Linked DNA regions of Notamacropus eugenii. The protein of the gene in region 2 interacts with the protein of the main gene of each other region in a pairwise test. Links are inferred from orthologs where the notes say so. Each region holds a gene or a part of one and is shown on either strand. Other genes may lie near its edges. The genes, in order: LRRFIP1 and FLII.

Region 1 (3,909 bases), on a different chromosome or scaffold from region 2:
AAAATCACAGGGGGAGCTGGGGTTGGAGAGAAACCCATGGTGGCCCCTCCTGATGACCCAATCCTGAATCTGCACAGCTGGGAGGGGCAGTTACAAACACACTGAAGAAAGACCCCATGTGTGCCCCTGCACACAGGCTTCCCCTGGGCCTCGGCATAGATATTTTTAACATTTCCCTTTAAAAGTATTCAATTAGGAGCTACCATTCTGAAGGGAAATGAACAGGCCCCAGCAAGGCCTTAATGACGCAGAAGTGGGTTACATCTCCTACAAAAGCGTGAGCTCCAGCAAGAAAAGTTTGCCACTAGAAAGTCTGAGAAGAACCTTGCATGCAACCATCACCATATTCCGGGCTCAGCTCAGCACTGGGAGGCAGGTTGTAGACTAAGGGTATAGCTGGAATAGTTTCAGACCTGACCAATATGAAAGCCTCTAAGTCATCACTGGCCCTTGAAGGCCAAGGCATAGCCTGGCCCCCACATGGGAACCTGAGGAGAGCTGTTCCTTCCCACGTCACATTTGCCAAAGCTCTTTCTCTTCAGGGCTCCCACACTCTGGCCACCCTGCAGAAGAAAGGTTGGCCTAGTACAACTGTCCATGCTGGTAGCTGGGTGTGGTGCAGCCCAGAGGGCCCTCACTCTCACTCAGGTCTAAGAGACCTGAGTCATCACAGGCTTTCTGGTGTGAAAACTCCTTTCACCAATGCTGATTGGCTACTGGTCTTTTACTTAGCCTAGCCAGTTTCCTGGGGAATTAAAGAGGAGAGCAGTTAGCTCATGGTCACAAAGCCAGAAAGAGTCAGACAGAGTTTAGACCCAGGTTCTTCTACCTCCAGAACCTACCCTCTGTGACTTTCAAAGCAGTTTTAGAAGCCTTACTGGATTCGAGGTCGGTGAGACCTCTGTCTCTCTAGCTACACTTTTCCTCTGTTGTCCAGTACCCTTTTTCTCCCAAACAACCCTCCATGTGAGATTGGCATTCCAACTCCTATCAGAAAGAGGAGGAAGGAGGCATGAGGAGGAAAGTCCAGGAAGCATCTGAGGCTTGCCAGGAGCCCTGGGGGAGGGAGGGCATGCCTAGGGTCCCTTACAGCTTTAAATCTATGATTCTAGGATCTCGAGTATTTACTTTGTTGTAAACTTTGGATAATCTGAGGAGAGACCACTAACATGCAAAGGAAGCTAAAAGCTCCCAGGGGGAAAGCTATGAGACCTGTGAATTCACTGGTATGAGGAACTCCCTCTCCAAGGGAGGCCATGCCTCCTCCACCAATTATATTCCTAGCAGCTGCCTGAGAGATTGAATGAGCTGCTCAGGGTCACAGAGGCAGGATGAGGCAGGCTGGACTGGAACTGGGGTCTTCCAGGCTCTGAGGCCAACACCTCACTAAGGCCACAGTGCCTCACAGAGGAGGGGGTTTTTCACAGAGGTTAGAATCATGAGTTGGCTCTAACGAGGTGGGATGGGGTTGCCAATGCTCTACCTGTGAGGTTCTGAGGCAGCCACTTGCCTCCTCCTCTGCCTCAGTTCCTTATCTGTAAAATGACCTGGGAGGCTGGTGCCCAGTCCTGTAGGCTAGAGAAGTGGCATCTGCTTGGAATGAGGTTAACTGAGGGCAGGGGCAGCCTCAGTTTTGCCTTTGTATTCTCAGTCATCAAATAATAAATAACGAAGTCATTAGATAATAAGAATGAAAGCCAATCAGATAGAAGAGAATTGACTGCTTTGTCACCTCTAGGTGGGAAGATGGGACAACTCCTCCTAGAATATCCACTTAGAGAGTCCCGGGCCAGCTTCCCTCCCTTTTAGGGGTAGTCTTTTCCCAGCAGAATGGAAGCCCCCAGAGGCCAGGGCCTGTCTTTCTTTTTCCTAATATTTGTATCCTCAGGGTTTAGCACAGTGACAGGCACACAGTAAGCCCTTAAATAAAGGCTTGTTGACTGACAGACTGAATACAAGGTCATTGAAGGCAGGAAGCGATTTTCCGCTCTTTATCCTCAGTGTCTAGTGCTATGTTTGGTACACAGTAGGCACTTCATAAATGCTTGCTTGCTTGACAGCTAGCAGCAAGCCTCCCACTCTTCTCAAAGACAAACCCTTCTGCCCAAAGGATCTAGCATTTAAGAGGTGAAAGGGACCCCAAGGGGCATCGGGTCCAGCTCTCTAATTGTACAGATTAAAAAGAGCTAAACTGGATTTAACCACTGTTCACTCCACTACACAGGTGGTAAGGAGAGCCACATTTGGACCCAGAGGCCATCTAGTCTAAATCTCTCATTTCTGAGATGGGGAAACAGAGGGCCAGCGAGTTTAAGAGACATTGCAGCTAGAAGGGGCCTCCCGAGCTTTCTAGTGAAATCCTCTCATTTTACAAAGGGAGAAACTGAGGCCTCGGGCTCAGAGGCTTAAAGCTGGTAGGGGTCTCCCAAGCCATCTAATTCAGCCCTTTCATTTTACAAATGGGGAAACTGAGGACCGGGGAGATGGAAGCGCCGCCGGCTCCTCGGGCTCAGAACCTTAGATCTGGAGAGGGCCTTCCAGGCCATGCGGCCGCCCCCAGTCTCCGGCCGGGCGAGCTAGACGTCCAGGGAAGCCGCAGGCGGGCTCTTTGTGTGTCCCCGCGCCCGGCCGGCACAGGCGGCCCGGCGAAGGTCACGGTCAGCCCCGGCCCCAGCCCCCGACCCCCAGCCCCGGCCCCAGCCCCGGCCGGCGCACCCACCCACCTCGCGGGCGATCTGGCTGAGCGTGTCGTCCTCCGCCGTGAGGCGCTCCCGCTGGGGGAGCCTGCGGCGCCCGGAGCCCTGAGTGCCCATCTCCATCTGCCGCCTTCCCCCCGGGCTCCCAGGCTCCGGCTCTGGCTCCGCAGCTGGCCCCCGCCCCGCCCCCGGCCGGCCCCGCCCCGCCCCCGACCAGCCCCGCCCCGCGCCTGGGCGTCCTGACGTCAGCCATAGGGGCCGGGGGGGCCGGGGACCGCGCCGCGGGCTGGGAGGCCTCGGGAGAAAGGCAGGGAGTTTCCCATCATCCTCCAGTAGTGATGGGCGGCCGGGCCGCAGGCGTGCCCACGAAAGCATCCGACCAACGAGAGCAGTCCCAACGTGCAGCGGACTGCCCGGGGGGGACGGAGAGCAGTGAGTTCTCCATCACCTTGGGAATGGCAGAAAACTGTGGTTTTTACTTTAATTTTATTTCAAATTTTTTAAAATATCGACACAGGAAATAGGAAGTAAAAGGAGCATGTGAGCATGTCCTTATACATTGAAGAGCAGAGGAGAGGCTTGTATGGGACATTAAGAATCTTCACTAAGTTGAGCTTGCTTTAATATTTTGTGTGGAGATTTCATATTTTTTGTGCATTCATATCCCAGTCAACATTTTTAACAAATTTTAACAACTTTCCAAGAAGTTAAAATGGGAAAACTTTAAGGTCGTGCAATAGAAACTCGCTAAGAAAATGCAGGTTGGCACCTTCTCTGCAACTTATGAACTTCAGAGTTGCTTAGAGCACTGAGAAGTGAACACAGTCACTTGGGTTGTTGTTTCTTGGAGGAGAGACTAAAACCCAGGTATTCCCGCTTGGTTCTGAAGTCATCTGTCTTCCCAGCATGCTGTGCTGCTTTATTTAAAGCATTTTTAAAACTCTAGCTGTATGCTAATGGGATAGGCAGCAGGAAGGTAGAGAATTTCCATCACTCTCTTGTGAAAGTGTCCTAACAACCAGAGTTCTTCCAAAATGAATTACTTGCCTAGAAGATAGTGGAGAATTTCCCACTATCCTCCAATGATGAGCAGAAAAGCTGTATGGAAGCCTGAGAAAGTGCTCTTTAAAAAAAGTTGTCTCCACATGGACTGGATTACTTGCGATTAATGACTACCAATCTCCAAGGACTCTCTCCATTCTGAAAGTCTGTG
Region 2 (3,909 bases):
ATCTAATGTAAGTATCATTCCTACTCCTTCAGTATAATCACATATGGGAGACTGAGGTATCTGGGTTAGAATGTGGTGGTTCCTCTGCCCTTGCTGATGAATACATTGTTGCAGAATCTGACAACTTTGTTTCATTTTACCTTTGTCTTTCTGCCAAAGAGACTCCCACCCCTTCAGGGCTGGGTAAGTCATATTCCCCAGCCTTTTGGGATGAGGATCTCTCTTTTGTGCTGGGGTTGGCACAAGCACAAGTCCCTAGGGACCCAAAGCCCCTACTCAAAGGGATTTTGGGCCTCAGGGAACCAGCCCAAGGGACCTGAGCCCAAGGAATCACCTTTATCGGAGATTCCAGGGCTCTGGGTTCCTGAAGCCCCTCAGGGCTGATTCTTCAAACATCCCGAGTCGCTGGGCTTGTTTCCCTTTTCGTCTGTACATATCAAAAGCAATTGGGATTGAAGGGTGCCCGTTTGGCGTCAGTTAAGATTGTAGGCTCTACTCCTTAGCAAAGGGTACTCCGGAGCACTAGGCTTGGTGGTTCATAGACTATCACTGACACCTGGGACCTGTGTGATCTTGGGAAAATCATTTCTCGGCCCAGGTCTCAGTTTCCTCATCTGTAAAGTGAGGTAAACTAGATGGCCTCTAAGGTCACTTCCAGCTCTGGGTCTACGATTCCATAACCTCTGAGCCTGTTTCTTCACCTGTAAAAAGAGGAGGCTGAACTTCCTCATCCACATGGTCCTTTGCAGTTCTACATGGTTCTTTGTGAAGGAAGGAGGCCTGGATTAAGCATTTATTGCATGGGGTGCGTACCCATATAAATGTAAACCGATGTGAAAACCAGCTTTCCTGCGCCTAGGCTGACTGACACCGCCCCCGACTCCAGAGTCCCCCGAAGCCAGAGACCTGGGTTCAAATTCCACCTCGGATTTTGGGCGAGCTCCTTCCCCTTCGCTGAGGCCCTGCGCTGCTCCTCCTCTCTCGGACCACAATCTAGAGCTCCCAGCTTCCTGGTTCGCCCCGGGCCGGGCCTGCGCGAGTTAAAGGGGCGGTGCGGGGGTTGGGGGCGGGGTAGCCCGGTTGATCCCGCCCCCCAACTCCCCACCGGCCCTGCCCCGCGGCCGCCCCACCCCAGGAACCGTCTCCAGTCTCCGGGAAGCCGCAGCCGCAACCTCCGCAGCCATGGCCGCCACCGGGGTGCTGCCCTTCATTCGGGGCGTGGACCTCAGCGGAAACGACTTTAAGGTAGGCTTGGGGTGGGGGCGAGGGGCCGGCGGCCCCCCTGCCGGGCCTGTCCCCCAGCTGCACGCCCACACGGCCACCGAACCCCCAGGGCTTGGGGAACTGTTTTCAGGCCCCCCCAAAGACATGATCCCTCCGCCCTTCCTCCGTGCTCCCCTTCTGGGGCGGGGAGTGGGTGTATTTCACTAGGGGCCTGCCGGACCAAGGGGAGAACTGCCTGTTTCCCAGATCTGCCTCCCATCCTGCGGCGGGACGGATACTCCGTACCCTAAGGGTCCCAGGATCATAGATTTAGGGGTGCAGGGCACCTTGGAGGATCCAAACCCAGTGCGATACAAATGAGGAAACTGAGGCCCAGGGAGAGCCTTAAGTGACTTGTTCCTGAGTCACACAGGTAGCAAATGATAGAGCTAGAACGGAACCCAGGACCTCGGACTTCAGACTGGGTGCATTTTCCACCGAACCGCCCAGTTTTGAGTGACCTTCCCTTCCCTCACACTAAGATACACGGGTGCTCAGGAGCCCCTCGGACCCGCTCCACAGAGCCGGTCCTTTAGGGCGGGCACCACTCATCCAATGGGAAGCACCCAAGCTGAGAGCATGGAACATCGGAGCTGTGAAAGACTCTGGAGAGTAAAAGGGGGAAGGGACCAGCCTTCCCAGAGAATCCAAGACTCTTGACTTCCCAACCCAGGGCTAAATCCCACTGCTCTATTACGTTTCGTCAGGAGGAGGGTCTAGGCCTTCTTCCTGTCCCTCATGTGGCTCTCATCCAGCCAGGCCCCTGTGGAGCCCCCAAGCTCCCTCTGGTTCTGCTTAAGTAACTTCACTTGGTAAGAGTTCTTTTAAATGGGACCCTCTTAGACCTGTTGTCCTGCTTCAGTCATCCTCAGCCCTCACCCCCAAATGAGAGACCAAGTGACCTTTTAAGGACACTTCCCACCATCACCCCTACTTTTAAAATGAGTCCAGACTCTTAGTTCATCTGCATCATATTACCTAGGACAAAAATCAATTTGTCAGGTGCTGAGTCTACTCAGGGAACTTAATCAGAGATTCTTGGGAAGTCAAGAAAATATCCTGGATAACCAGATAGAATGTAAACTCTAAGGGAAGGGAGGTTTCATTTTTGCTTGGCTAGCACACAGGTGCTTGATAACTGCTTGCTGACCAATCGATTGATTGATAAATCAGGGCCTTAAGCTGGGAAGAAGTAGGTATGGCCAATGCAGGGGATTGGATATTATTGTGTGTGAAGAGACCTGTTTATAATCCCTGGGCCTCAATCATTTCCTCCTCTGTGGGTCACAGGGGTTCTGAGGTCTCTTCTTTCTCTGATAGTCTGTGGTTCAGTCTTTGCACAGACACATTTTTCTCTTTCCCCCCTGAGATAATCATCTGTCAGCCCATTAGGCAGGAACGTGTAAGGGCCATCTTAGAGGCCTTCCAGCCTCTGAGTGAAATGATCTCCGTTCCTGGGATGTTAAGTATTAAAATATTAATATGACTCACAGTTGGGATCTGGTGATGCATTTTCCCCCAGTCTTGAGCTTTGAGAGACTTGAAGAAAAAGAGTATATATGTATGTCAACGTTTGTGTGTTGGGGAGGTGCTGGAGAATATGCATATATGTATGAGTCCCAAGATCTGTGTGGATGGATCTGGGAGGTTGGTCTGGGATCTCTGAGTATTGTGTCATGTTCTTTTTTTTTTTTTTTATTTTGTAATGTTTAACAGTCATGTTCTTTTCTGAGAGTGGGGCAGAGCAGGAGCTAAGCATCAGAGGGGAACTGAAAAAAATATGCCTTTCTTAGAAATTGACTCAGGATCTAACCTCATTGGTGTGTGGAATTTCTAAAAGTAGAGGGCTAGGGTTAGGTCTCTGGAGGCCTTGAAGGTTCAGTGATAATAGGGATAGAATCAGAGGAATGTCTATAAGGATCTCTCAGAGTTTTTTTCTGTCCCAGAGAGCTGAAGACTTCAAAAGTGTTTTTGTTTTTAAATATTGACTCTGTCTTTCCAAATGTAAAGGATAGTGGGGTGGCATAGTGGAGAGAGCACTGAATTTGGAGTTAAAGGTTTGGGGTTCGAATCTTGGCTCTGCTACTGACTTTAGACAAATCAGTTAACCTCTCTAGGCCTCAATTTCCTCAACTGTAAAATGAGGGGAGTGGATTAAATGACCCCTGAAATTGTTTCGAGCTCTAGATCAGTGAGCTTGTGATGTATCAGAGGTACTGGGAAGACCCACTCTTACCAGAAATACCACCATTAGTTAAAGAGGCAGTATTAGACTGAGGGCAGGAACTATCTTTTCCTTCTTTTTTTATCCCCAGCACTTAGCACTGTGCCTGGCACATAGTAGGCTCTTTCCCCCCACCCCGTTTTCCCCTATGATTTTATTTTTTCTCAATTACATGTAAACAAAAACTTTTAACATTCATTTTTTAAAATTTTGAGTTCCAAATTTACCCTCCGCCTCCGTTCCTCTCTCCTTGAGAAAGCAAACAATTTTATATAGATTATACATGTGCAATCATGCAAAACATTTCCACATTAACCATGTTGCAAGAGGAAAACACAGAACCAAAAAACAAGTATAGTAAAGAAATTTTTAAAAAGTATGCCTCAATCTGCATTCAGACTCTGTCAGTTCTTTTTCTGGAG

Evidence for each region.
Region 1: the proteins of FLII (region 2) and LRRFIP1 interact in binary tests that used the Homo sapiens proteins (3 or more experiments, as listed by UniProt). The link is inferred for Notamacropus eugenii from reciprocal best matches to the Homo sapiens genes FLII and LRRFIP1.

The regions. Positions count from the first base shown.
Region 1 is NC_092873.1:61,352,635-61,356,543, forward strand, and holds the start of LRRFIP1 (leucine-rich repeat flightless-interacting protein 1), read right to left. Parts: upstream 2,881-3,909; 5' UTR 2,820-2,880; coding exon 2,724-2,819; intron 1-2,723.
Region 2 is NC_092874.1:335,785,077-335,788,985, reverse strand, and holds the start of FLII (protein flightless-1 homolog), read left to right. Parts: upstream 1-1,108; 5' UTR 1,109-1,182; coding exon 1,183-1,245; intron 1,246-3,909. UniProt on the Homo sapiens protein: Is a regulator of actin polymerization, required for proper myofibril organization and regulation of the length of sarcomeric thin filaments. It also plays a role in the assembly of cardiomyocyte cell adhesion complexes.